Mus musculus: one gene and its partners. The protein of the gene in region 1 interacts with the protein of each later gene in a biochemical or structural test. Links are inferred from orthologs where the notes say so. Each region holds a gene or a part of one and is shown in the gene's direction. Other genes may lie near its edges. The genes, in order: Mapt, Casp6, Gsk3b, Sgk1, Mapk13, Tuba4a and Mapk3.

Region 1 (4,300 bases):
ATAATTCAGTAATTAAGCTCATATGGGAAAAAATGTTTGTGGTGCTAGAAAACTGAACCCAAAGTTATCTCAAAATTTTATTTTGGGGGCTGGAGAGGTGGCTCAGGGGTTAAGAGCACTGACTGCTCTTCTGAAGGTCCTGAGTTCAGATCCCAGCAACCACATGGTGGCTCACAACCATCCACCCCCCCAGCCCAGAAGTGTGTTTGTTTGTTTGTTTGTTGACTCACTTTCACCCTGTAATACAATTCAGGCTGGCTTGGATTCTGCTATATAGCCCAGGCTGATCTTGAACAAGTCTCAGCCTATCTGAATGCTGGGATTACAGATGTGAGCCAACACACCGAGCAGGTACAACGTTGGAGTTTTAGAAACAACTGCTGGGATAGCAGTGCACACCTTTAATCTCAGCACTCTAGAGGCAGAGGCAGGCAGGGGATCTCTGTGAGCTCCAAGCCAGCCAGGGCAACATAGTGAGAACCTGCCTTGAAAAATAAAGAAAAAACGGCATGCAAATGAAAGCTTCAAGACAAGTTTTCGCCTCTTTGGCAAGAAGTAGGTGCCTGTCTCTCTTCCTTGCATTTGAACAGGCTCCAGCTGTCCAAGAGAATTGAGCTTTGGGGAGGTAAGATATTAAGCTAAAGCCACAGCCCACGCCTACGTAGCTGGAAGGAGAACTAATGACCAATTTCAACCGGAAGCTTGACATCCAGCAGGTGGCCATCTCCAGCAGGCACCTTAAAAATTCAGCTCTCACGCTGTACAAAGGTGTTTCAATAAACGAGATAAAAATAACTCTGTGAAAATGCCTTGCAGTGTGTGTGGTAAGCATCATTAGAACTTACCTATTTAAAGATTTTTCTTCGCTAGGGTCACAGTCAAGATACCTAATGGGTTTGAATGCTCCTTGATTTAAAAACAATTGTTTTTCCACGAAAACGCTAAAGTGTATTACGGTCAAGTTAATCTGTTTCGAGAAGATTTGTCAAGGAAATCATTCACTTTGGCCATTAACAAAAACAGGTGGAAAGAAAGCAAGCGAACAGCTGGCCCTGGAAATAGAAAGTGCGCTCTATCTGGAGGGCCACATTTTAGGAGACTCGGGGAGCCTGTAGCACTTGGGGTTCACGGTGTACCGCCTGGAGAGCCAGCGAGGGTGAACTGAAAAGCGGACGATGACCGACACACCGCTCTGCCTGGACCCCGCGGGGACCGAGGGAGGGGACCCCTGGACTAGACAAAGGCTGCAGCCCCGGGAGGCCGGGTGCGCGTGCGCCACGGAATGCGCGTGCGCGCGGCGGTCAGCACCGCGGCCCGAGGCGTGGCGGGACCCGGGGAGGGAAGCGCGGAGAGGGGCGAGCCGAGCGGCGCGGAGAGAGGAGGGTTGAGGGGCGCTCGCGTGCGCCCCCTAGCGGTCGGAAGGGGAGGTGCCCGCCCAGGCCTCGCTGCCCGCCCCTCCCCTAGGGAGGTTCGCGCTCCCGTGGCTCGCGCCTGCGCTGCCCGCCGGCCTCCAGAACGCGCTTTCTCGGCCGCGCGCGCTCTCAGTCTCCGCCACCCACCAGCTCCAGCACCAGCAGCAGCGCCGCCGCCACCGCCCACCTTCTGCCGCCGCCGCCACAACCACCTTCTCCTCCGCTGTCCTCTTCTGTCCTCGCCTTCTGTCGATTATCAGGTAAGCGCCGCAGCTCTGAAATCCAGTCCCCTCTGGCCCTGTGCGCCGTCCTCCTGCCACCCCTCGCCCCAGAGATGGATTTAGGGAGCTGGGCATCAATCAGGCGCAACGGCGGGGGCCTCTCTGCGCCCTAGGCGCTGGGGAGCTGGGAAGGAACGCGTGCAAGAGATGCACGCACGCGAGCGAATGCGTGTATCTATGAGTGCTGGGGTCCCCACTATCGGCTCCGCGCAAATGAGGGGGGCTGTGCCCGCAGGGTGGGGCGCGGATGACGGTGACCTAGGGAAGGGGTTGTTCTGTAATCTGGATCTCAGCCTTTTGCCGCAATGGGCGTGGGTCTGTGAGTGTGCATGGGGGTCCAACGACGACCCCCGAAACAGAACCTGAAATCGGATTTCTCTGCTCCTGATTGCCATCAGCCCTAAGGAAGGTGTGGATCGGGTTCTAGAAAAGATGACTGCCTTCATGTCTCTCCACCTCCCTGACAGCGATTCTGACACGGCCTTCACTGGCCCTGATTTAAGGCGGTGGCCCGCCCCCTCCCCTTTTCCTCCTTCAGAAGCCGGCAGGGGACATTTGGGGGCTGGGAGGAATCCGGAGGATGGGGAGGGGTCCAGGCGCTGTCACGTTAGTCGCCCTTCCCCCTGCGCGCGCTTGGTACAGTGACAGGGGCAGCGCCGTGCCCGAGAGAAGGTAGTGCGCGGATCCCAATGTGGGAGCTCGAAGAGTCAGGGGTCACCTGGCCTCGCGGTGTCAGCGGGCTGGCTGGCAGCGGCTCCCCGCTCGAGGGCGCGCAGCGTTGCAGCCAGGCACAGACCCACGCGAGGGCTGCAGGTGCATTTCGGGGCGCGTTTCTTTCTCTGCGTTCTGCGCCGGGCTCCCGGCATGTGCGCTCCCTGCCGGAGGCGCGGGCTGGCGCGCAGGGCTCGCCCCTCACTGCGGCAGTGGGTGTGGACCTGGGTGGGCGAGGAGGGGGGAGTACGATGTGTCTCCTCCCGCTGCCACCCCTCTCCGTTTTTTCCCCCCTCTCTGAACGCGAGGTGCCATCTTTTTGCGGCGAGTCACGTCTCTATCGTAGCATGCCAAGAGCTGTGGCCAGGCTTTGGAGGACCCGGCTTGGACCCATGTTAAAGAACAGGGGGTGATGAACACGGAAGCCTTGGCGTTTTGCCTCTGCAGCGGTGCGCACCAGAGCGTTCACCTGAGGTCGTCTAGGGGAGCTCGCTGCTTTGTTCGTCGTGTGATTTAGGATCTGCGCTCCCAGCCCTGGTTTTTTGGGGGAGTGTGCGGGGGGAGGCGGGAAGCTTTCATTCGACGAGGATATTTGCCTACGCACTCGGAGCAGCTCCATCCTTTTTTCGCCACTCTTTTCAGACCCTTTGTTGGATCTACAGACTTGCGGCAGCCCACTCCCCAGTTCGACCCAGAGCCACATGGGTGGGATTCGAGATAGACTCTCGTGTGCAGGAGCCCTCAGAGGAAGCACATCCCTCCCCACACCCAGGCCATCCTGAGGACCACACCCCACTTGTGTTTCACTGCTAGGGGAGCCAGATAACCCTCGGGAATGGGGAGATTCGGCAAGCTCAACTCCGCATCCCCACCACCACCACCACCGTTGAACCCTGTTGCCTCTCCCGGTGGGAGAGTGTGAGGAGAGGGTATGAGATCCCCTGGGATACTGCGGCCACACCCATCCCTCCCAACCCAAGGAGAGAGGGTTAAGGGTTGCCATAGGAACCACACCAGCCAGAGGAGGAACCTCTGGGCGTTACCTCACCCCCTACCTCCCACCCCCTACCTCCCACCCCCCCCCTTACTCCGCGGAGATTTAGAATCCTGGGGTAGTCTGATAGTGCCTGGAAGACACGAGGAAGGGGCCCCTCATCCCTGATGCGAGCATCATTCTCTTGGCACTGGCAACCATAGCCATCCAGAGAGAGAGAGAGAGAGATGCCTCTAATGTATTTTATTATAAGCGTGCTGACTGATATTATTTTATTAATATCATTTAAATGAGGGACTTTCATTTTTAAAAAAATCCACATCTACAACAGCCCTTGAAACCAGAGAGGGATAGAAAGCTAAGAGGTCCCAGCCTCCCCACCGTACAGTAAGCTCGGTCTTCGAGGTTTTCTGGTTAATTTTACCGCTGAATACTGGTGCGGGTAAGCAGTTTTGAGACCGATGGATGAGCTTCTTAAGGGCCGAATTGCCCACGTCGACTGCTCACTCAGATTGATGTAGGCTGGGGGTGGAACGCCCTCTCCCGATCAAACCGCGGCCTGAGGCTGTGGCATCGTGGCCGGGCCCGCCTGGCAGAAATTTCGCGAGCATCTGAAAGATAGGTTCAAATACTACCCATCCCTCGCCACACGACGGGCTGCTGGGAACAGGATTCTTAAGCTAGAAGAAGCCAGGCTCTTGGGCTGGATGCGGAAAGGGGAAGGCTGGGAGGGGGGGCTGACTATAGCGGGCCCGTTGGGCAAAGGTGTCACAGCGGAAAAATCAGCGGGAGGGGGAGGAGACAGAACGTTTTACCCAGTGCAGAAACAAAGCTCAGATCACAGCGTCTTCGAACTCCCATTTTGCACTGTGTTGAGGGGTCGAGTGAGGTACTGTGCTGGC
Region 2 (4,300 bases), on another chromosome or scaffold:
ATTTGTGGAAGGCCAGCCAGTCGAGGATCCTGCTCCTATATAGTGAGATAGAGATGCATTGTCAGGACTCAGATAAATAATGAAAGTCATATCCAAAGCATAGGCAGTCTTGGGAGTCAGACAAGCCATTCAAACCAGGACGGTGGTCGACACCCTGAAGTTCACTCTCTGCTAGGTCTAGGCAGCTGGGCTGGGGATGATGAGACCTAAATAAGTAAAAAAATAAAAATAAAAATAGACCACACTGTTTCCCCAAACAAGAGAACGGAGAGCAACTCCCAGCCATTTTCCCTGAGCTTCCCCCATGAAAGGCACGGTTCTGAGTGCAGGTTTAACTGGTCACCACCACTGGAGGGAAAGCTTGAAATGCCATGTCGTAATGACAGAGAAAATCATTATTAAGACAATTGAATATTACTAAGCCTAACCCTCTTTACTTGCCATCAAGAGGGGCCCAATTAATTTCGGACATGTTTTCGGGGCAAGGAAAAAGGTTTATTCAGTAAGCAAGACACAGCAAGACTTCCACTGTCTTATTTTAATAGAAATGGTGACATTGAGACTAGTGAAGGCCAAAGGCTGTGCAAAGATACCTGCAGATGCCCAAAGCCTGCTGCAGCAGGCATGAGACTACGCATGTGTGAGCCCGCCCTGCCCTGTTAAAGAACCTCCCTTATGTACACACATGCACACACACACACTTCCTACACACATGCACACACACACACTTCCTACACATATACGCATGATTAAGTAGTGTAATAAAAGACTCCTCAGTCAGCTGGTAACACCTTAACATAATTTTTATCATCTATAGTTGCTTGCTTTTAAATGACAAGGTGGCACACAGTAGGCACAATATGACAGGAAAGGCCATGGTCACCATCACCTACAGATAGACTGTCGTTCTTAGAATTTATGCATGCACTGCCAAACTACCCCTACTTTTATAAGCCAGACTTAAACATCCAGGAATTGGTAGAGTGCTAGGCTAGCATGCGAGAGTCCTGGGTGCAGTGGCACAAAGACAGTTATCACAGCACTGAGTGTGGGGGCTGAAGGATCAAGGTCAGGACCTCAGCTACAGGAGACTCAGGGAAGGAAGGAGGGAGGAGAGGGGGTTGGGGGGTGGGAAGAAAGTCCAGGAGTTGCCTCCGTTTTGTTTTGTCTAAAGCCCTGTCCAAACAGCAGCAGCAACAACAACAACAAAAACATGAGGAAAAAAGCCCTCTGACTGTAGAGTAAGCTCTCTACACTAAACTGAGCACTAGATGAAGTGGCGAAGAGCGATTGTCGGGCGGGGACGGCAACACTGAGTTCACCACCCTGGACGTGAAGTTGCCCTACTTGCTCCCCGGGCAGTGCCCTCTTCCCCAACACTTACACATACACATATGCTTACACACAGCCAGGCTCTGTGCAGGAGGAAGACGCAGTGGCGTCCTGGCGTTGCCTGGGTGACAAAGGGCCCAGTTGCTTGGGGAGGCAGAGGCGGATCCTGGGGCGGGGCAGGAGGCGGGGCGGGGCTGGCAGGAAACGGGTGGACGAGCGGAGGCCTCAGGGCTAGGACACCGGTGGGAGCTCGCGGGCAGGTAAGTGCGGACACCCGTGCGTGCGTGGGGCACGGGGCAGAGAAGGGTGGTGGCCTCCGGGGACTGCTAGGACTGACAGAAGTGGGCTTGCGGCGCTGTGCAGTGAAGGACGTAGCAGCGGTATTTTGCTCAGGCTAACCCCGCCGAGCGCTTTTGTCCTCACGTCCGCTGCTTCCCGGCTGTTTAAACTTTAGAGGGCGGCGCTTGCACTGTGTAGTGGAGAACTTGGCTCTGCAAGTTGAATCCTGTTTTTGTTGCTCGCGTCTGTCTGAAAAGTGGGAAGAGGAGGCGGACCAAGGCTTGGGGCACAGGCCTGCGGTAACCGGGCTCAAGACCCCTAACCAAGGCCAGACCTGGGCGAGCACCTCCGCCACAGTGTCTTCTGCAGCCAGCAAACCTGTTGCTGTCTACGCGTTAGCCCCAAATAACTTTTCTCCACACAGTGATAAACTGCTAGTTCTTGCTTCCCTCAGAACAGGCTTCCTGTCGCCTATCAAAACCGACGTCAAGCCTGAAAAATCTTTAAGGTCTATCAGAGACGGCCTTTATTTCAGAACTTCTGTCCTTATTCCAGAGGAAAACTGTAAAAGTCCCCATGGTCCTACCAGGAGTGGTCCTATTGGACACACAGGGTCTAGTGGTCATCTCCAGTTTAGGGATGAGTAGTGAGGGGTGGGAAGCCAGGTTGGGGGAGGGCACCGTGCCGCTCACCCTTTTGTTTGATTCCTTTCCTCTCCTGTTCAGTTCTATGTGTATGTGCCCTTTCCAGAGTATGTTCTAGGGAGGTGAGTTACTTCTTACAGGTTATTAAGTAGATGGTTGACAGGGAATATGGGTAGATTCTCATGAAGGTCACTAGTTTGGAAAGTGACCTTTAGTGGAATGCCTGGTGACATGTAGTACAGACTTTGTAATCCACCAGTGCCGGGCTTTCGGTTCCGACCTTAGGCAGGACTGGCCCTGTTCTGTGTTCTTGAGCTTTGGAAGTAGTAAGATAAAGTATCTACCGTCCCATGCAATCAATTACAGTGGCTGATAGCTTTATCTGGAGGGTACCATAAAGAGAAAAAGAGGTGAGTGATTTTATACAAATTAAACTAAGGAGCTCAGAGGCCATGCTTACTGTAGGGTCGAACAGTAAAGGAGAAGTGAGACATGGCCAAGACTGACGATTAATGCTGTGTACAGTTTTGAGAACCAGAACAGAGGAGACCACACATTTCTAACCCTCCTATAGGCTATCTTAATCTCTGCTACAAAAGAGGCCAAGGCCGGAAAGTCTCAGGTTCAAGGTCAGCGTAGATAACACAGAACAGCTCTTGGGGAAATGCTGTGCCATATACGCTTTGAAGCTGCTTTGCTGTGAGCCAGGCTCTGAAGACTGCGGCAAAAGGAATGTGAATTTGAGGCCAGTCTGGGGTACGTTGCTTTTGAACCCTTGCTAAGGCAAGACTCTCTTGAGAAGCCTGCATCCGTGTTGTGCTGGGTAGTCTTATGTCAACTTGACACAAACTAAAGTCATCTGGGAAGAGGGAGCCTCAGTTAAGAAAGTGCCCAATAAGATCAGGCTGTAGGCAAGCCTGTAAGGCTTTCTCTTAGTTAGTGATCAGTGTGGGAGGGCCCAGCCCACTGTGGTTCGGCCATCACTGGGCTTGTGGTCCAGGGTTCTCTCTAAAAGAAAGCAGGCTGAGCAAGCCAGTAAACCATCTGCCTCCACGGCCTCTGCATCAGCTCCTGCCTCCAGATTTCGGCCTTGTTTGAGTTCCTGTCCTGACTTCCTTTCGCGATGAACATGGAAGCATAAGCCAAATAAATCCTTTCCTCCCCAACTCCTTTTTGGTCATGGTGTTTCATTACATCAATGAAATCCCCAATTAAGACAGATATCTTGGCTATCTATTGTAATTTCCCTACACATATATTAAGTATATATTAAAACTGTTGAGTGCTGGCAAGAGATCTTAGCAGGTAAAGGCACTTGCCACCAACCCTGGGACCTGGGACCGTATTATGGAAAGAGGAACCTGCTTCTGCAGGTTGTCACCTGACTTCCACAGAGCTGTGGCGTGTGTCTGCCAGCTCCCACACATACACAAATACATGTCAAAACTTTATTAAAAGACCCCAGCTTTACATTAAACAAACCCTTAGTGAGGGCGTGAATTTGACAGCCTTGAAACTGGATGTTATTTTTAATAGATCTTGAACAGTTACTTAGGCCCTGACTAGGCTGAGGGAGATGTGTGAGACAACCCACACTGAAGCTTCTCATTGGATAGGAAGAGCAGAGTTGGTCTTCAAGGCTTTCAAGGGACTTGGCAAGCTGTGGCTGGCATTCTTGCCACTTTGGCAGCTCTCAGGTGCCTTGCTACAAAGGCAGGTTGGCAGTCCCTTCCTGGATTCTGGCTCTGTAGGTCTCAGTAGCCACCATGACCCAGGAGTCAGCCTTCTAACACTCACTGGCAATTCTGAGGCAGACGGAGGAAACCTACTTAGCACCTATTGGACAAGGAAATGCCCGACTGGACTCTTCACTGAGAAATGGTGCTGCCTGGGTGAACTCTAGGCTAAAGGGGACTGAGCCGCCTCCCCACTCAGCCTCACCGCCAGGGTGGCTGTGGTTTTGCTCTATTGACATGAGGTTAGAACAAGTCTGTTTAAGGCGGGGGGCGGGGAATAATCGACTCCACGTCAAAGACCCCTGCCAA
Region 3 (3,500 bases), on another chromosome or scaffold:
AGGCTGTCAAGGCTTCCAGTTAGATAATTTGGAGTTATTGGGAAGTTTGTATTTTAGGAATCTGTTTTATCCATTAAGAATGTAGCTCTGGCTGTCATAGCAGCTTGCTGCTTCTGCCTCCATGTAGAGCACTCAGATGCTGAGACTCAAGGCGTGGGCCACCGAGTCCTGCTAGTCATTTGTTTGAGAGCTGGAGTTTAAACTCCACATCACAGACAACTGTGTTTTCAAGGAGCTATCCCAGCCCCAGAATGCACTTCTGAAGAGAGGAAAGTCGGTTATCTAGTACACTAAACCTTGATTTTTTTTTTTTTTTTGAGAGTCTGAAAACCTTACTGTTGTTAATATAGCAAATACTGTTTTATCTGGGCCTAAGAAGAAGGTTAAAATTTGAAACGGATGATGAAAGGAAAAACAAATCAAGTTTAGAGTCATCATTGACTATAAGTAAATTGAAGGAAAAGAAACCCCACCCCAAGACTGTCTCCTCACCTGTCTGGGTCTCCTCCTCCTCACTGTTACCTCAGATTTTTCACCTTTTTTGGCATTTATTTACTTGTTGTTTTTTCCCTCTTTGTTCATTTGGTTTTCTTGCAGTATTTTGTTCTGTATCTGATGCTGCTGTCAGAACAGCTCCTAGAGCGGCCTGCTTTTTTGAGATGGAGTTACCTAAAAAGACATTTCAAGAGATACTGTGACTCACTTCAGTGTTTAAAATATATACTGTAAGCTACTTTAGGAGGAAGGTTTTAATAATATGTAAACTTAGAGCTGCAGAGATGCAGTTGATAGGGTCTGAGTCATTTTCCCCTAAAGTTGAATGCCTTTTCACAGTTTGTTTAGCAGTAGGTGTTTAAACAGTAAACCGACTAGAATGTGGAAGCATGCATGTCTTGGCTGTGTAAGGCTGAGTCGGTCATCCTGAGTCAGAAGACCAAGTTGAACAGAGTGGCCAGATCCCCCACCCCTTTTTTTAAAAAGCGTATAGATGAGGAATATTGATATATTCGCCTATTCTGATCTGGTAATATTCTTTTGTTGGAGAAGACTACTTTTTAATTTTCTGACCTTTATATTTTATTTATTAATTATTTTTGAGACATGGTCTCACTGTATATCCCTGGCTGACCTAGAACTCACTACAAAGTGGCCTCCATCTCACAGAGATTCACCTATCTCTGCCTCCTGAGTGGTGGGATTAAAGGTGCACACCACCATGCCTGTCAGCCATTTAATATTTCACAAGTAGAATTTAGGAAATGGGGAAGCAGAAGAAATTGACCATTTGTATCCTTTTGTAAGTTTTTAATCTCTTTGTTCCTTAGCTAACACCTGACACTCACTTTAAAAATCACTTTTTTAGATATCAGTTTGATGAAATTGTGTATTTCTTTTGTTGGAAACAGTTTCAAGTGTGTGGCATTATTGCAGTCTTACAAGATTTAGATGAACATGTGGTATGTGAATGTAAAAGTAGTCATTTCTTTAAGGTATATATTTTAAAAATGTTTTTTTTTTTTTCATCAGTGCAAAGCAGCTGGTCCGAGGAGAGCCCAATGTTTCATATATCTGTTCTCGGTACTACAGGGCACCAGAGTTGATCTTTGGAGCCACTGATTACACGTCCAGTATAGGTAAGTGCCGGGTCTGAGTGCAGTGGGTGTGACTGTTAACTGCAGCCTGGTTCTTACCAGTTCTCTGACTCAGCGAGGGCAGGGCTGCGGAGGACACCTTTGCAGAAATGAAGAGAGTTCATTTTCTTTCTTACACCTTAGAGTTGATGCCTTTCTGGTTTTATGCTTTTTTAGTATTAGAATTATACAAGTATTACTTTGTATTGTAGTTGCTTAATGCATCTATTTGACGCTAAAGTTTCAAATAATTTTTGATAATCATGTAGAAACATTACTGAGGCAGGGAAGGACGGCAAAAAGACGTGCTCACAGCACGCGTGGAGCTCAGCCACAGCTGCTCGGAAGGAACTTTTGTCTGCTTAGTTACTAATGGGCTCTGTACTAGTTTTCTAGCTCTCCTGAAGTGTTTATTCTTGAGCCTAACCTACTTAGAAAACTTGTTAATTAATAATGTTACTTTTAAAATGTTAATATTATAATTAATAGGGCAGTAATATTTCTGAATTCCTATAATGATGCATCGCTTAATTTTCGAGCAGCTTAATTCATTAGCTTTTCAGGTTTAAAAGTTTCACTGGAGATGTCTAACGATAGAAAGATTAGAGACAGTTGAAATCTTCATTGACCTTATCTTCTTAACCTGTTCTAGTGCAGTTGCTGTGTTAGTAGACAAAAACCCTTCTCCCAATCAGTTTATTTAATGTATCATGGCAGGGGTGGCGGGGAGCTGGGCTTCACTGATGTGGCTGGACTAGCTGACCCGTGGGTCTGAGACCATCCTGTCTTCAGCTCTCTCTACCATAAGCCACCTCCACAGCCCCTTTCACTTTGTTTCTGATTAGAACCTGTTAGTCCTAAATAGAAACTAAAGCATACATATTACACTCCTCCCCCAGGAAAAAAACCCATAGTCATGGGGGCGGGGCAAAAACCAAAATAAAAACAAAACCTGGCTAATTTAGTACAGTGCTTTGTCCTCCTGATACGCACAGCGGTGCGTTGTTCTTTTTCTTTTCAGAAAGGGCAATATGCCAAAGCATCTTTTCGCTGATACTGGTGCTTTTTACACACTAGGTCATTTTATTGTTTATGCTGTTAGTGTAAAGTTACATTCTAGGACCTGAAAATGTCTGCAACACTTAGGGCTCTACAGCCCACACTTGATGAAACCTGCCAGAGGAGAGGAGGGAGGGAGTGTGTGTGGTGCCGTGTGTGGTGCTGTCTTACTGTGGCTGTAGGAACATGGCGTATGTGACTGAATAAGTGAGAAGTGCTGCAGAGAAGCTGACTGGAGAAAACAGTATCTGAGCTGCCACGTGGAGACCCTGATTCTGCCTGCTCTTCATAAAACGTTACTCAAGTACTGTAGGCGACAGTCTTTCCTGGGCTTACTAATTCAGCTGTCTCCAAGAGAAAGTTTAGTCCTTTGTCCTTGCAAATGCCACTGGATACAGTATTTGATTAGTATTCTAGTCAAATATTTGATACTAGTTAGCTATATATGATCTATGCACAAGATAATAGATTGAGTTGTGCCAGGGTCTACAAAAATCTGAACAGTCCTTCTAAAATAATCAGAGCCAGATCACCTGGCACATTGTAGAAAACATGGATTTGGATCTAAGATGCTTGCCTTTTAAATTTGGTTTATGCGTGTGTTTTTGCATGTATGTATGCATACCACATGCATACATTAGTGCCTGTGGAGGTCAGAGAGGGTGTCAAATCTCTGGAGATATAGGTGGTTGTGAGCCATTACATGGATGCTGGGAATTGAACTAGGTTCTGTGCAAGAGCAGCAAGTAGTCTTTCTTAATGGATAAGCCATAACTGTAGCCAGGATCTTGCTTCTTAAGACTTTGTAAG
Region 4 (3,500 bases), on another chromosome or scaffold:
TCAAAATTTATGCGGAAAGAACAGAATGTTCTCGGAGATTAGTTGGAAAAAAAAGTGAAATGAAGATTGTACTTTTTTTTTTTGTAGAGCAGAGACTTATTTCCGCCCCCTCCCCTACACATTCCTGACCCCCTCATACCCCCCCCCCCCCGCCTTCCTTCCTCCTCTTCCAAGTTCTGGGATTTTTCAGCCTTGCTTAGTTTTGGCCAAAAGCACAAAAAAGGCGTTTTCGGAAGCGACTCGGCCGTGCACAAGGGCCATTTGTTTGTTTTGGGACTGGGGCAGGAAATCTTGCCGGCCTGAGTCACGGCGGCTCCTTCAAGGAAACGTCAGTGCTCGCCGGTCGCCGTCGCCCGCTGTGCGCCCCTCGGTCCGCAGCTATGGGCGAGATGCAGGGCGCGCTGGCTCGGGCTCGGCTCGAGTCCCTGCTCCGGCCCCGCCACAAAAAGCGGGCGGAGGCTCAGAAAAGGAGCGAGTCCGTCCTGCTGAGCGGACTGGGTAAGTGTCGCCGCCCGGCTCTTAGGGACGGGGTGCGTGGAGATCGGGATAGGGTACAGCGCGGGAACCTGGAGGCTGCGCGTTGGGCCGGGGACGGGACACCGAGGAGGGGAGAGGTCGGCGGTGACCGTGCACTGCGGTGTCCACTCGGGAAGCACGGGAGAGGAAATGGAAAATCACCGAGGCTCTCCACCCCTCCAGTGCCCTCCTCCGGCCCAGGCAGACAGAGGCAGAGTGCATCCCGGTGCGGGGTCCTGCTCACGCAGCCCGCGGAAGCCTCGGTCCTGCCCAGGGCGGCTCGCCTGGCTCACTCAGGACACGGTGGCCAGTCGCCCATCTTCTCGCAACTCAGTCTACAGCCTGCTAGGCGGCTGGGCTGGGGGGTGGAGCCTCATGGCGGGCGGAGCCTGGAGATGGGCGGCTCTGAGCCGCTTCCTCCTTCTGCCGGCCCCGCCCTTTCGCGGCGCAGGGCTTATAAAGCCGGTCGCGCGGCCGGAGCGCACTGTTGTCTTAGCCGGTTTCACTGCTCCCCTCAGTCTCTTTTGGGCTCTTTCCGGGCATCGGGACGATGACCGTCAAAGCCGAGGCTGCTCGAAGCACCCTTACCTACTCCAGAATGAGGGGAATGGTAGCGATTCTCATCGGTGAGTGCTGGAAAAGCACCGGACTTGTGTGTGTAGGAGAGCCGGCATCGGTTTTGAAGGTTCAGGATCAGATTAGCGTGTGGCGTCGGATGTTACAGAGCCCCCTAACCATCTCCCCTTTTCCTCTCTTTAAATTATAGCTTTTATGAAACAGAGAAGGATGGGCCTGAACGATTTTATTCAGAAGATTGCCAGCAACACCTATGCATGCAAACAGTAAGTTTTGGGTTATTGGGGAAAATAGAAAGAATTGTTTAAATTTACTAGCAGCGAAGACTTCATGGGGCGGGGGTGGTGGTGCTGGAGCTGAGATCTTTCCTCCGGGGTAGATAGATCTCTTCTGGTCTTGAACATTTTGCTTATTTGAAACATTTTAAACATTATTAATTTATGGGTAGAGTTTGGATCGGAGGTTTAAGATTAATTCTCGTGAATGTTCACCAAAATCCACGTCCCTCAATAAACAAACCTTAATTTGTATTTAACTGGGTTATTTTCTTACCTTTTTTTTTTTTTTTTTTTGTAAGCAATTCCTTGGGATGTTTTCGGTTTAAATACCGAACGGTTGAGTCAGAAATAGAACTTATGTCTGTGTGCCCTCTGGTGGCGAATTTAAGAGTTTCTAAAATGGCCCTTTAATCTCCACAGCGCTGAAGTTCAGTCCATTTTGAAAATGTCCCATCCTCAGGAGCCGGAGCTTATGAACGCTAACCCCTCTCCTCCGGTAAGTATATCTTGACTGTGGAGGAAAATTATAAATGTATCCGTATTTTCCTGTAGGGGTTAGTCAAGGCAGTATTTGTAAAAACTATCAAGGCGGGATTGTCTAGTCACATCACAAGTGGCTTAAGTGTTTAAGTACTGAGTCACTGGGATGTTTTGAAAGACATATTTCATAAGGTATTTTATGTGTTAACAGTAAGGCTGTGTGCAGCGTACGTATTAAAGGATGATGCTTTGTTTTCTAGCCAAGTCCCTCTCAACAAATCAACCTGGGTCCGTCCTCCAACCCTCACGCCAAACCCTCCGACTTTCACTTCTTGAAAGTGATCGGAAAGGGCAGTTTTGGAAAGGTAAGTTCAACCAAAAGTTCATCTTTTCCAAAAGATGAAAACTTTGCATCTCGACTCTTTCATGCATTCACTTTTATCTTCTCCCTGGATGAGGATAGAAAAATGACTGTCCGATTTGACATTTCAGGTTCTTCTGGCTAGGCACAAGGCAGAAGAAGTATTCTATGCAGTCAAAGTTTTACAGAAGAAAGCCATCCTGAAGAAGAAAGAGGTAAGGGTGACCCCTGGTGGCCGGGGCTCGCAGGCCTGGTGAAGAATTTCTACCCTGTGGTTTGCTGCCCTGTTGAAATCTGAATTTGCCACTAAATCTCATCTCTCTCCTAGGAGAAGCATATTATGTCAGAGCGGAATGTTCTGTTGAAGAATGTGAAGCACCCTTTCCTGGTGGGCCTTCACTTCTCATTCCAGACCGCTGACAAGCTCTACTTTGTCCTGGACTACATTAATGGTGGAGAGGTGAGCCGAGGCATCCACCTTGATGGTGGGAGTGGGGCTGCTCCTGTTTGCATTGCTTGGTTTGGGTTTGAGATGAGCTTTTAAAAGATACTTGAGAGAGAAACTTACTCAGAATTAAGCTATTTCAGGCCACTTCCTTCAAGCTTTCTCTTTCGGGCCTGACTAAACGACCCCACTAAGCCTCAGTTTCTTTGTCTCTCGCAGCTGTTCTACCATCTCCAGAGGGAGCGCTGCTTCCTGGAACCACGGGCTCGATTCTACGCAGCTGAAATAGCCAGTGCCCTGGGCTATCTGCACTCCCTAAACATCGTTTATAGGTGAGCCAAAGGTTCAAAGCTACCTTGAATGCTGGAGAGGGAGGCCAGGCTGAGCCTTTGGAGTCCTAAAATAATGAGATATTATGTGCACTTTGGTCACCTCTAACAATTCCCTAGCATGTGAGTTGTCTCAACTGCCCATACCAAGAGGGTGGTGCATAATCCTAACAGCCCAACTAAGGCTCCTTTCTGTGATTGGCTGTGGAACAGGAGTGGATTAGCAATCTTCTTAATACCCAAGCAATCTTTACAGAGGGTTTGTCATGAAGTCAAGCTAACCTACCTGTGTAACTACTTTTTCCTACAGAGACTTAAAACCTGAGAATATTCTCCTAGACTCCCAGGGGCACATCGTCCTCACTGACTTTGGGCTCTGCAAAGAGAATATTGAGCATAACGGGACAACATCTACCTTCTGTGGCACGCCTGAGGTAGGCAGTCTGACGCAGTGCCCGGTGTATACACACAGGGGACCAGTGGACATCACAAAGCACAGAGGTTTTAACTAAGAA
Region 5 (3,444 bases), on another chromosome or scaffold:
CCCAGGGCAGACCTGAGGCCCACTCAAGCCAAGCTGACAGAGCTATGTCATCTGTTTGGACATGGTGGCTGAGGGAGGTTGGGACAGGTGACTAGGAGTCCCAATCCCTGCCTGGAATATAAGTAGGAAGAAGAGACCTCAAGGAAGAGATAATGAACTTGACCTTGGGTCCTTGACTCTTCCAGAGCCTGTGAAATCACAGGAGGGGGGAACATGGATGTAGACCAGGCTAGCATCCTCTCCATGGGTGATGGCTAAACGCTGGGGACTAAACATGGTAAGACAAGATACAAGGATGTTGGTCCAGAGGGCACATCTGTGAGAAGGCAGGAAGGGTGAGCAGGTGAGAACTGGAGAGAGAGGAGGGCTGGCAGGCACCTGGGAGTCAACAGAAGGACACACAGGAGGAGTCACTGTTCTTGACGTGGTGACTGTGACCTTGAGCCCAACATATTAGGACAGACACAGGTACCATGACTAGGTTATGAGAGGCAGTGTATTTAGGTGGTGGAGAAAGTGAGATAAACTGTATATATTGTATATTACACATACACACATGTACACATACATGTACATATACATGCACACACTCTCACACATATATACATATACACATATATAAATATACATATACATACACATATATGTATACATATATGTGTGTGTGTTGGTATGTGCACATGCTTGAAGGAGCCCCTGAAATCAAAGACAGTTGTGAGTTGCCTGATGGGGGTGCTGGGAATTGAACTTGGGTTCTCTAGGAAAACTAGCAGGTGCTCTTAAAAGCTGAGTGATTCTTCCAGTGTCCAGCAATAGCTTTCAGAAGCAAAGTCCACAGCAAGGTAGTATAAATATGTAATCCCAGCGCTCAAGAGGTAGGTGGAGCCCTTTGGGTTCGAGGCCAGCCTTGTGTACATGTTCCAGGCCAGGCAAGGCTACATGATGAGGCCCTGTCTCAAAATAAAGGGAAAAAAATGTGTGCATGCAAGACACATGTGATCGTGTGTGTGTCTATGTGTATGTGAGAGAGAGAGAGAGAGAGAGAGAGACTGTGTGTGTGCAAGTGTGTCTGCACGCGCATGTGCATGTGTGAGTGCTTGTGTGTGTGCACATGTGCATGCGTGTGTATGTGCATGTCTGTGTGCATGTGTGTGAGTGCACAACACACACCTTTTATAATCTATTACTTTTTTTTTTTTTTTTTTTTTTTTGGTTTTTCAAGACAGGGTTTCTCTGTATAGCCCTGGCTGTCCTGGAACTCACAACTCACTTGGTAGACCAGGCTGGGCTCGAACTCAGAAATCCGCCTGCCTCTGCCTCCCGAGTGCTGGGATTAAAGGCATGCGCCACCACGCCCAGCTAATCTATTACTTTTTGTCTTTGTTTTTTTATTTTTTTATTATTTTTATTATTTTTTTACTTTTTGTCTTTAACGTTGCTCTTACCACCTTGAGTCACACTTCCCGGTTGCTGACCCTGACCTGTTTCACTTGAGAACCTAATAGCTCGGGTCCCTTCTTCTCCACCATCTGAAGATTGTTTCCTGCTTCCTTCCTGGCAGGGCATCTGTTTTATAGTTAGCAGAGCCAGCTGGGGTGGGTGTGACCCTCTGCAGGAGAAACTTTTGGTTAGAGGTAGGAATGCTAGCAGATGCTGTGGGCTTGCTGCTGGTCAGCTATGCGAGGAGGGCAGAGCCAGGGTACCTTTGTATGAACGCAGGCGTGTGGTGATACAAAGTGTGACCTAGTCTGTTGTTCACCCTGAGCTCGGCCAGCCAGGTTGCTGTGGCCGACATTGCAGGAGCCCAGGCTGGGCACTGCTCATTTTTCATGTATCCTCTTTGTTTGTTTTCTGTGTTATTGTGTTCATATGTAGGGAGCTGCATATGTGTATGCAGCTATGTGTACATTGTATGTGGGTACTGAGGCTTCAACTCCTGTCTTCCTCATGTCCTATTTACATATGTGTGCTTATATGTGCATTTATCTGGAGGTCAGAGGTCAACCTCTGATGTTGTTATTCCTTAAGTGCTATCTACCTTGATTGTTTTTCTTATGATTGTAGTTGTGTGTATGTGTGCGCGCACGTGTGTGTGTGTGTGTGTGTGTGTGTGTGTGTGTTTGTGTGTGTGTCCCTGCATGAGTTTTGTGCACCATATGTATGCAGTGCCCACAGCAGCCAGAAGAGGGCACCAGATCCTCTGGAACTGGAGTTACAGGTGAGCCTCAAGATTTGGATGCTCGGAGCCGGGCGTGGTGGCACACGCCTTTAATCCCAGCACTTGGGAGGCAGAGGCAGGCGGATTTCTGAGTTCGAGGCCAGCTTGGTCTACAAAGTGAGTTCCAGGACAGCCAGAGCTACACAGAGAAACCCTGTCTCAAAAAACCAAAAAAAAAAAAAAAAAAAAAAAAAAAAAAAGATTTGGATGCTCGGAACTGAACCAGAGTCCTCTGAAAGATTAAAGCCATCTCTTAGTCCCCTTCCATTTTTTTTTTTTTTTTTGAGGCAAGGCCTCTCACTGACTTGCCAACTAAACTAGGCTTGCTGGCTAATGAGCCCTGGGGACCCTTCTGTCTCCTCCCTACCAGCACTGGGGTTACAGCTGAACTCCAATACACCCAGCTTTTATACGTGGGTGCTAAGGGTTGAACTCCAGACCTCCTCATGCATCTGAGCACTGTGTCAGCTGACCCAGCTCTCCAGCCCCGGGACTCACTATGTAGCCCAGGCTGGGTTTAACACGTTGCAATCTCTAAGTGCTGGGATTACAGGCATGAACTATGACACCTGAGTCGTCTTCTGCCTTCTTGCCTGGTGTTGTCTTCAAGGTTACTGTTGTGCCCGACTTCTGTCCCCACCCCACCCTGACCTCTCTGAGGTCACACCTGGGCCTGTGGGAGGCTGGGAACTGTGCTAAAAAACACTCCTGCCTTCCAGCTACCTGGTGATGCCCTTCATGCAGACAGACCTACAGAAGATCATGGGGATGGAATTCAGCGAGGATAAGGTCCAGTACTTGGTGTACCAGATGCTCAAAGGTCTAAAGGTGGGTGGAGCCTACATGGTAGCCAAGGCAACTTCCTTGTTGAGAGCCAGCCCGCTGTTGTGGGGCAGAGGAGGGTTCTCGATGCTGGTGTGGAAGCTGACGTCTCTGATTCACATCTCTCTCTCTCTCTCATTCTCTCTCTCTCTCTCTCTCTCTCTCCCTCCCTCCCTCCCTCCCTCCCTCCCTTTCAGTACATCCACTCCGCTGGCATCGTCCACAGGGTGAGTGCTTTCTCTATCATGGTTCCGGGGAATGAGTTTTGGGGTAGGAACAGGGTACTCTGGTGGCCAAGGGATTGGGAGTGACAGTTCTCAGGAGACAGAGGCTGTGAGTGTTTCAGCCGTGAGAGGGCTGATGTAGAATGTTGAGAGAATGGCTGTGTTGAGAAGTTGGGGAGA
Region 6 (4,010 bases), on another chromosome or scaffold:
CCAACCGAACTACACACTCAGCCTCTCCCAACGAAATTCTCCTAACCAGATGTCAAGGACTAGAAAGAGATCTTGTGAAATGTATTGTATTCTTTTCTATGACTTCTCTTAAGTCAAATGCCACTAGCTACTTTGTTGATAGAACGTCTGCCATTGCTGTATATATTTCGGCCTTGTGTTATGCTGACAAACAGCTCTGTCCCTAAGAAGAGAATGGAAGCCCATGCTGGTGAAATCTTTTTCAAGTGATGACTACCTTAGGAGTCAGAATTTTTATGGCCATGAAAACCAGCACCTGGGCTCCTCCTGAGGGATTTTTTTTCCGGTGGGGGTGATGTATGTCTGAGAAAGCAGAAATAGTTTTTAGAAAGGCCTGTCCTAGTACGAAATGGAAATAAAACGTAGAAAGGAGGTATCTCTTCGACTGTACAAGCCAAGAACTCAGTGACACTAAGTCACTTGCCCAAGGTTGCATAAGGCCGACCGGATGCTGTTCCAGAGGCTCCAGGTTCTGTGCTCCACCGCAGCAGGTAGGTGGTCGAGGCGGGGAGCTAACTAATAGTGACGGCGCTAATGACGGAGCCTCTGACCAGCGAGTGGCCTGGCCGGTGAAAGGTGGCAGATTCTCGCGTCGGCCCTCACAGATTGGCTGCGCCGCTCGGCTTTGAGGGATAGTCTACCGGATCGGCACCCTGGGGCTCAGGCTCTGTAGTTCTAGGTCCTCGGCCTCCTACAGGTGTGGGCGAAAGCCTACCAACTCGGCCGGGGACCAGCAGGCGGCGGTCTGCTGTAAGGGGGTCTCGGGCGACCAGTCCCAGCTGCCCAACCCGCCCGAGCCCGGGAGGCGACGCTGGGAGGACAGCGGAGAAGGCCGGGGACAGCCGCTTTTGAAGGATTGCTTGAGCTTCATCCGCCCTAAATCGGAATACCTGCACCATGAGCGTCTACATGACGCGGGTGCATTCGAGACACGCTCCGCCACCGCACCCTGCGTCTCTGCTTCGGACCTTCGGAATCCGGGACATCGGCTCAAAACTAGGAACGAATATGGGCCGCTGCTTCTAAGCCAAACCCGACAGGTGAGAGAATCCGGAGCGGCAAGGGGAGGGGATACGCCTAGGTTTCACTCCCCTGGTGGCCACCTATCCTGACGGGGATGTAGTCTTTAAACCACCCCGCCCCATGGTGGGCGGGCTGAGCGCGCAGGTCCCGCCTCCTGCCTATAAGAGCGGTGCGGCACTGCAGCTCCGCAGATCTCACCGAGACCCGTGACCCCGACTCTACGTGAGACGTACAGCCCAAACTCATCATGGTGAGTGAGGCCCCGCCAGGATCTCTCCGGTCCTATAAACAAATGTCCCGCTTCTCTGGGGGAACCTTCCACTAGAGATCTGAAGACCCTTTCCTTAGCATTCCGAGTTTCCAGGAGATGTAAGAGTTTTGCACTTCCCCCACCTCTCCCGGTGACTTTGACCTAGTGTGTTGTCCACCTTCAGAAGCTGGGGACTGAGGGAGGGTGTTTCACTAGCAGAGAGGAGCCCTTCTGTAGTGTCCTCCTGCCCTACCAAGCGTCTGTGTTCCAACCCTCCTGAGGGGAGTCACGAGGTTCCGTACCCAGTGCTCTCCTCCGGCAGCAGAAGACCTGCTCAGCTGCCCCCGCCACCCATACCCCCTGAGTGAGTCCCTGGAACTGACCGAACACGTGCCTGGCGCCGGTTGGTTTAAGGGGTTACTTGGTACCGCACCCCGTCTTCCTCCGTGTGCCTTCTTCCCATCTACACCCCCCACATGACTCAGCACCCCCTCCTGAGCCAGGAGGGGTGGCGGGAATGGGGTTCGGTCTCGGGAGGCCAGCGGGCCCCTCCTACCCGAGTGCGGGTGCTCGCGGGTGCTCGGAGAACAGGCAGAGACAGCTGGCGCTGATCGACAGCCCCGGCCTCGGCCAGGTGGCGGGGGAAGGGAGAGAGGTGTATGAAGGGGTTTGTATTTATAGCCCGGAGCGGGGGCAGAAATCCAACCCGAGCTTTCAACTGGGAAGTAACTGGAAAGACTCCAGTGGGAGAGCAGACGTAGGGCCCAGGTACAGATGGCGTTCCCCTGGCTTGTGCAGCAAGGCGGGTTTCCTCAAGGGCCTCCTAGCAGGTTCCACTTCCTTTTCTGGGTATTTAGAAATTGTCGTGCCCCACCCCGCCCCCACGCGCCATTTGGTTGTGAAAAGGGAGGCGCACAGGTTCTATAGACCTGGGCGTTGCAGGGGTTAAATTATGGACCACCTAGATGTAGCCTTAAGTTGCCAGGGCTCCAGTATGTATACCTGTATTGCCTGCCCCTGCCGTCAGCGTTTACCCGTATTATCGCTGCTATTTCCATGTGGGCTGAGGCGAGGATGGAGGTGGTGAAGCAACGCAGAGTGTGAGGGTGGAGGTGGGGAGAGGAGCCAGATGGGATTGATCCCTCAGGGCCAGATGGAACTTAAAAGTGGAGGTTCTAGCATCCTGAAGGCCAGAATGGTCAGTTGATACCAGATGGAAGGTTGAGACACCTCTTTGCCCACAGGAAAGAAGGGGAGAGGGTTGTGAGAATTTTCAAGGCAAAGATTAACCAGGGAGGAAGCTGCTGGCTATAAACTATAAAACATATTTCTAGACGCTGCACGATCTGGAAGCAACTGGAAAGTCTTCTGTCTCTCGGTGTCTATCCCTCTCTGTGTCTTTCTCTCCCTGCACCCTTATTATAATTGCTGAAGCCCTGCCTGTCAGGTGTGCATGTCCTCTCTGTCCTGTGTATCCTGTGGATGTAACAGGATTATACAGCTCTCACTTGGTAAATTCTCTACTGAGAAGTAGGCTAAGGGGTTGGTCTGCCCTGCTGGCTACCTCCAGTCTGGGGAGCCCTGTGCTGAGGAGACTGGAGAGGCTGCCAGCTGCTTCTGACCACCATGAGTCCCAACCTTACCATACTTTTACCAACTGAGTAATCTCAGCCAATAGGCAAAAGGGTGAGAAAGAACCGAATGAAGTGGGTAGTTGTGGGTAAGGACTTATGCTGTGACCTTCTCTGTATCCCTCAGCGCGAGTGCATTTCAGTCCATGTGGGGCAGGCAGGTGTCCAGATGGGCAATGCCTGCTGGGAGCTCTACTGTCTGGAACATGGGATTCAGCCTGATGGGCAGATGCCCAGCGATAAGACCATTGGTGGAGGGGACGACTCCTTCACCACCTTCTTCTGTGAAACTGGAGCTGGAAAACATGTGCCTCGGGCAGTCTTTGTGGACCTGGAGCCTACTGTAATCGGTGAGCAAGGGGGGGAGGGGTCCCCTTTTGAGGAAAGTGGAGTGTCTCTTGAAGAATGTCTTGGCTGGGTTTTTGTGATCTTTGAAGCCTCTTGGTTTATTTGAAGCTGAAGATGGATGCTGGCAGAAGGATGAGCTAGCTCTTTTATCTATCTGGCTTCAGCTGCCACTCAGTGGGTGGGGAGGGGGAAGGAGCAGAGTCAGGTGGTTTTTGCAATGTGATATATGGTTTTTCAGATGAGATCCGAAATGGCCCATACCGTCAGCTCTTCCACCCAGAGCAGCTTATCACTGGGAAAGAAGATGCAGCCAACAACTATGCCCGTGGTCATTACACCATTGGCAAGGAGATCATCGACCCAGTGCTGGACCGGATCCGCAAGCTGGTGAGACTACATACAGCCTGGCAGGGAGGAGGGAGCTTTGGACTCTGTGCTCAGGAAAAGTATTTTTTTCGGATCCATTTCTAGGATGATCACTAGTTGTGTCTCAGAAATTGATGCTGTTAGGGGATATTCAGACTTTGTCCTAACATCTGAGATACTTTAGACCTTACAAAACTAGAAAATTCCTCAGGCCTTTCCCCTACCTATATTGCTCTTTCTTCCTTGCCTTTCAGTCTGATCAGTGCACAGGACTTCAGGGCTTCCTAGTATTCCACAGCTTTGGAGGGGGCACCGGCTCTGGCTTCACCTCTCTGCTGATGGAGCGGCTTTCT
Region 7 (4,009 bases), on another chromosome or scaffold:
CCAGAGATCCAACTCAGATCTTTGGGCTTGCTTGGCAAGCATCTTTACCTACCCAACCATCTTACCAGCCCAGCGTGGGGGGAGGGGGGGACAGAAAGACAGAGACAGACAGAGACAGAGAAAAGGTGACAGTGAATTTAAATTGATTTAGTTACCTTTGTCCACAGCTACCACCCTTTCCCTCCTTCTCCCGTGAAGTGAGCTGGGTTGCACGTCCTCTGGGCAATCAGGCAGAGGATTTGTACGACACTGGGGCCTCAGCACACACCTGAGCCCCCCTGCAGGCCTGTGTCTTCACACTGGAGTCAGGACCGACTTCACAGCTTCACAGTGCTGCCTGCCGTCCACCACCCTCCAGATTGCTTCCTCATTATAAAACGTAAGATATACTCCCTCAGCAACTCAGGGTGGCCCACTCCTACCAAGTCTGACAGCCTGAATTGGACACCTGGGACCCACATGGTGGAAGGAATCAGATGTCCTCTGACCTCCACACAGGCTCTGTGACATACTTACGCTCCAACACACAAAATTAATAAATGTGGCAAATAAACGAATAAGAAATTATGGAAGCTGGGCATGGTGATACATACAGCTTCTAACTAATCCTAGCACTGGCGAGTTAGTATGTTGAGGCCAGCCTGGTTACCTAGTCTACATAGTGAGTTCTGGAACAGCCAGTTCCATGTCAAGAGACCCTCTTAAAAAAGAAAGAGAGAGAGAAAAGAAAGGATGGAGATGTGGCTCAGTGGTAGGATGCTTGCCTAGTAGCATCCTGAATCTGTATGATGGCTCAGGCCTAAAGGCAGGAGGATGTGTTCAAGGCCAACCTCCACCACATAGAGAGCCTTTGGGGCTAGCCTGGATTACCACTATCTGTTTAAATGAAACAAAGATGTGAGGCAGGTCTTCAAAGGTTAACTGTAAGCCGGGTGGGTTCCCTTAGCATTACTGAGGGCCACTGGCCCCTGGGGCTGCAGAACTCTCTTGGCAGACTAAAGTACCCTAGTGGCCAAGGCAGGGAAGGAACAGCGTAACTAGGCGGGAAAGCCGGGTGCGCGCCCAGGAGACCATGTGACGTCTCGGGCCCGCGCAGGCTCGCCCGGCAGGCGCGGGGGCGGGACGCGCGGGGGCGGGGGCGGAGCCTGGCGCGCGGCCCCGCGGTGACAGGGCGGTAGGGAGGGGCGGGGCCGCGGGCGGGGCAGCGGGGGGAGGCGGGAGGAGTGGAGATGGCGGCGGCGGCGGCGGCTCCGGGGGGCGGGGGCGGGGAGCCCAGGGGAACTGCTGGGGTCGTCCCGGTGGTCCCCGGGGAGGTGGAGGTGGTGAAGGGGCAGCCATTCGATGTGGGCCCACGCTACACGCAGCTGCAGTACATCGGCGAGGGCGCGTACGGCATGGTCAGGTGAGGGGGCGTCCCGGGAGGGGGCTTCGGAGCAGGGACAGCAGGTGTGTGCTCGGGACATGGGGGGCTCAGGGAGTGTCGCAGGGGAAGTATCGTGCAGTGACTTCTGGAGGACTAGGCGCTACTTTCTCCAGGGAGGGGGGTTGGAGGCTTTGAAGCCACCTTGTATTGTTAAGGGAGGGGCACCTGGGGGACCCTAGAGATAAAGGTGGAGCTAAGAGGATGAAGGGGGAGTGAGGGACCCACGAGCAGGTAGTGGGAGCCTTGGTTCCCCCCTGATGAGGCTGTGACAGAGAGTTTGAGAGAGGAGAGCAAAGCTCAGGGTGGGGCAAACCTTTGCACCTCTGCCCCTGGCAAGGCTAGGGGCCCAAAGTAGGGAAGGGTCTCTAGAATGTGCCTTATTTTGTGGTATACGGGTTTGTGAGTTCTCGCTGCCCCACTGTGTGCTCTGCTCTGGGCCTTTGTTCCTATGGGAGCAGCTCTGACCCAGGAACCGCACAGGGAGACCTGCCTGCCCCTCCTTATCTCTTCTCTCCTGTCCCATTACTGAATCCTCTAGGCTTCATCTACTTTCTCCATTTAACTCCTATCCCCTGGACCTGTCTGGGATTGAGAGAGTCCAGCTTGGGAAAGGGGAGGAGGGTGAGGGCAACTAGAATGTAAGAGGGTCCAGGAGAAAGGAAGTCGGTGAGTGGCCACTCTCTTCCTCTGTTTGTGAAGTCACTGAAAGGCTGCCTGGCTGATACCCAGCTTTCCCCTGGAGATCCCAGGCCTTCACAGCAGGAAGGAGCCAGCATTGTTTACATTTGGCCAGAACCCTCTCCTCCTCTCTCCAGTCCCTGCCAAGACCTGGGTGGGGCCAACAGGCCTGGATTCCCCCTTTGTAAGGCCACATCTCTCTGGCCCTCTCAGCTCAGCTTATGACCACGTGCGCAAGACCAGAGTGGCCATCAAGAAGATCAGCCCCTTTGAGCATCAAACCTACTGTCAGCGCACGCTGAGGGAGATCCAGATCTTGCTGCGATTCCGCCATGAGAATGTTATAGGCATCCGAGACATCCTCAGAGCGCCCACCCTGGAAGCCATGAGAGATGTGTATCCTTCACCTTAGCCACAGCCCCAGAGTAAAGCTAGGGAGCTTGGCTCTGTTGTCTGTGGTCATCTTTTGTACTACCCTCCAAAAAAAAAAAACCCCAGCAAAGTAACTTTTTAGCAGAGAGTCTACAGAGCATGAGAGCACACTGGCAGGCCTTGGATCCTGGTCTGTCGCAGCCAAGTGGAGTGGCCTTGAACACATCCCTTTCTGCTCTGTGCCCCAGTATGGTGTGTGGGGAGGGAGAATGCTGTGGAAAAAACGATCTCTATGGGAGCTTTGTCTTCTGACATCTGCAGGTCTGTGACATGACCCAGTCTCTGCCCACAGCCTGTTCTTGCTCAACAGACTCACGATTCTTTCTTTAGAGACCTCACACTGGATGGAAAGCAAAGAAGAAAACCGGTATTGGGCAGGCCTAGTGCTTTGGTTCTAATTCAACCTTCTAGCTTCCCTGTGTGACGGATGAGTTTTACTGTGTCCATTTCAAAGATAAGGAAACCGAGGCTCCTCTGTGTTAAGTTTTGCAGTGCCTTCTAGGGGGAAGGGGAGTGGGCGATACTTAATCCAACATGGAGGCAGTGGAGGCTTTCAAACCACATTGTATTGTTAAGAGGGGGAACCTGAGGACCCTAGAGTCACAGGGTGGAGCCAAGCCTTTGCACTCCTGCCCCTGGCTAGGCCGGGGGCTCAAGGAAGGGTGAGGGGCCCTGAGAGTCTGCCTGAATTCGGCAGTTCCTGTTAGTAGCTTCCTCTTCTCCCCCAGTTGGCTTCCCTGGAGCCTTCCCACCTTTCTGAGAGCCCCACCCTGATCACCTGTGGACTTGTACCTTGACCAGGGAGGTTAGTCCAGCCCTTGTTGCCCTTGCTTGACACTACTTGCCTAGTTCAGACATCCAGTTCATTGTCCATATCTACTTCCTGCCTGGCTCCATTGTTAGCAGACGGTAGCACCCATGGCCTTTTCCCTACCCACCCCTCCCAATGCCAGGATTTGTTCTACAGCCTCTGCAACTCTGACCACAGGAAATCGACATACTCCCGTCTTGCTGCATGACCTTCAGCAGGTCTCTGCATCTCTAGACTTGCACATTTATAAAGCAGCAGGGTTGGTCCCTGTGTGTATATATCTGCAGGTGCTTATTCCCTCGTTTCTTCTTTTTGAGAAAGGGGTCTTGCTATGTAGATCAGGCTAGCCCTGAGCTCACAGGGATCCAACTGCCTTTGCCTTGGGGGTGACACCAGCCCCAGTTTACATGTCTTCTATAGAAGACAGTTCAGACTTCAGTTTTTTTTTTTTTTTTTTTAAGAAAGTTTCACAGTGTATCCCTGGTTGGCCTCAGGCTAACTTTGTAGACCAGACTGGCTTTAAACTTCTAGGCAATCCTCTAGCCCCTGCCTCCCAAGTGCTGAGATTATAGGAGTGAGGTGCTCTACCCAGCTCCTGACTATTCTTCCAAAGATAAGCCATTTGTTTTTGCTTAATCTTTGTTTTACCTTCAAGTATAAAAGGA

What was found.
Region 2: of the proteins of Mapt (region 1) and Casp6, one has a biochemical effect on the other in vitro, tested with the Homo sapiens proteins (2 studies listed by BioGRID). The link is inferred for Mus musculus from reciprocal best matches to the Homo sapiens genes MAPT and CASP6.
Region 3: of the proteins of Mapt (region 1) and Gsk3b, one has a biochemical effect on the other in vitro, tested with the Homo sapiens proteins (21 studies listed by BioGRID and IntAct, with this or other methods). The link is inferred for Mus musculus from reciprocal best matches to the Homo sapiens genes MAPT and GSK3B.
Region 4: of the proteins of Mapt (region 1) and Sgk1, one has a biochemical effect on the other in vitro, tested with the Homo sapiens proteins (3 studies listed by BioGRID and IntAct). The link is inferred for Mus musculus from reciprocal best matches to the Homo sapiens genes MAPT and SGK1.
Region 5: of the proteins of Mapt (region 1) and Mapk13, one has a biochemical effect on the other in vitro, tested with the Homo sapiens proteins (2 studies listed by BioGRID). The link is inferred for Mus musculus from reciprocal best matches to the Homo sapiens genes MAPT and MAPK13.
Region 6: the proteins of Mapt (region 1) and Tuba4a are reported together in a solved structure, tested with the Homo sapiens proteins (2 studies listed by BioGRID, with this or other methods). The link is inferred for Mus musculus from reciprocal best matches to the Homo sapiens genes MAPT and TUBA4A.
Region 7: of the proteins of Mapt (region 1) and Mapk3, one has a biochemical effect on the other in vitro, tested with the Homo sapiens proteins (2 studies listed by BioGRID). The link is inferred for Mus musculus from reciprocal best matches to the Homo sapiens genes MAPT and MAPK3.

What each region holds. Positions count from the first base shown.
Region 1 is NC_000077.6:104,229,936-104,234,235, forward strand, and holds the start of Mapt (microtubule-associated protein tau), read left to right. Parts: upstream 1-1,500; 5' UTR 1,501-1,672; intron 1,673-4,300. UniProt on the Homo sapiens protein: Promotes microtubule assembly and stability, and might be involved in the establishment and maintenance of neuronal polarity.
Region 2 is NC_000069.6:129,899,915-129,904,214, forward strand, and holds the start of Casp6 (caspase-6 precursor), read left to right. Parts: upstream 1-1,500; 5' UTR 1,501-1,592; intron 1,593-4,300.
Region 3 is NC_000082.6:38,190,001-38,193,500, forward strand, and holds part of Gsk3b (glycogen synthase kinase-3 beta), read left to right. Parts: intron 1-1,527; coding exon 1,528-1,634; intron 1,635-3,500. UniProt on the Homo sapiens protein: Constitutively active protein kinase that acts as a negative regulator in the hormonal control of glucose homeostasis, Wnt signaling and regulation of transcription factors and microtubules, by phosphorylating and inactivating glycogen synthase (GYS1 or GYS2), EIF2B, CTNNB1/beta-catenin, APC, AXIN1, DPYSL2/CRMP2, JUN, NFATC1/NFATC, MAPT/TAU and MACF1.
Region 4 is NC_000076.6:21,993,684-21,997,183, forward strand, and holds part of Sgk1 (serine/threonine-protein kinase Sgk1), read left to right. Parts: intron 1-206; exon of another isoform or gene 207-380; coding exon of another isoform or gene 381-498; intron 499-982; exon of another isoform or gene 983-1,066; coding exon of another isoform or gene 1,067-1,142; intron 1,143-1,282; coding exon 1,283-1,358; intron 1,359-1,790; coding exon 1,791-1,866; intron 1,867-2,110; coding exon 2,111-2,215; intron 2,216-2,342; coding exon 2,343-2,426; intron 2,427-2,539; coding exon 2,540-2,671; intron 2,672-2,875; coding exon 2,876-2,988; intron 2,989-3,295; coding exon 3,296-3,419; intron 3,420-3,500. UniProt on the Homo sapiens protein: Serine/threonine-protein kinase which is involved in the regulation of a wide variety of ion channels, membrane transporters, cellular enzymes, transcription factors, neuronal excitability, cell growth, proliferation, survival, migration and apoptosis.
Region 5 is NC_000083.6:28,772,317-28,775,760, forward strand, and holds part of Mapk13 (mitogen-activated protein kinase 13), read left to right. Parts: intron 1-2,937; coding exon 2,938-3,046; intron 3,047-3,237; coding exon 3,238-3,267; intron 3,268-3,444. UniProt on the Homo sapiens protein: Serine/threonine kinase which acts as an essential component of the MAP kinase signal transduction pathway.
Region 6 is NC_000067.6:75,216,495-75,220,504, reverse strand, and holds the start of Tuba4a (tubulin alpha-4A chain), read left to right. Parts: upstream 1-1,210; 5' UTR 1,211-1,309; coding exon 1,310-1,312; intron 1,313-3,070; coding exon 3,071-3,293; intron 3,294-3,529; coding exon 3,530-3,678; exon of another isoform or gene 3,679-3,911; coding exon 3,912-4,010. Other genes in the region: A630095N17Rik (uncharacterized protein LOC381272), read left to right, coding at 1-45. UniProt on the Homo sapiens protein: Tubulin is the major constituent of microtubules, a cylinder consisting of laterally associated linear protofilaments composed of alpha- and beta-tubulin heterodimers.
Region 7 is NC_000073.6:126,758,417-126,762,425, forward strand, and holds the start of Mapk3 (mitogen-activated protein kinase 3), read left to right. Parts: upstream 1-1,209; 5' UTR 1,210-1,229; coding exon 1,230-1,402; intron 1,403-2,314; coding exon 2,315-2,497; intron 2,498-4,009.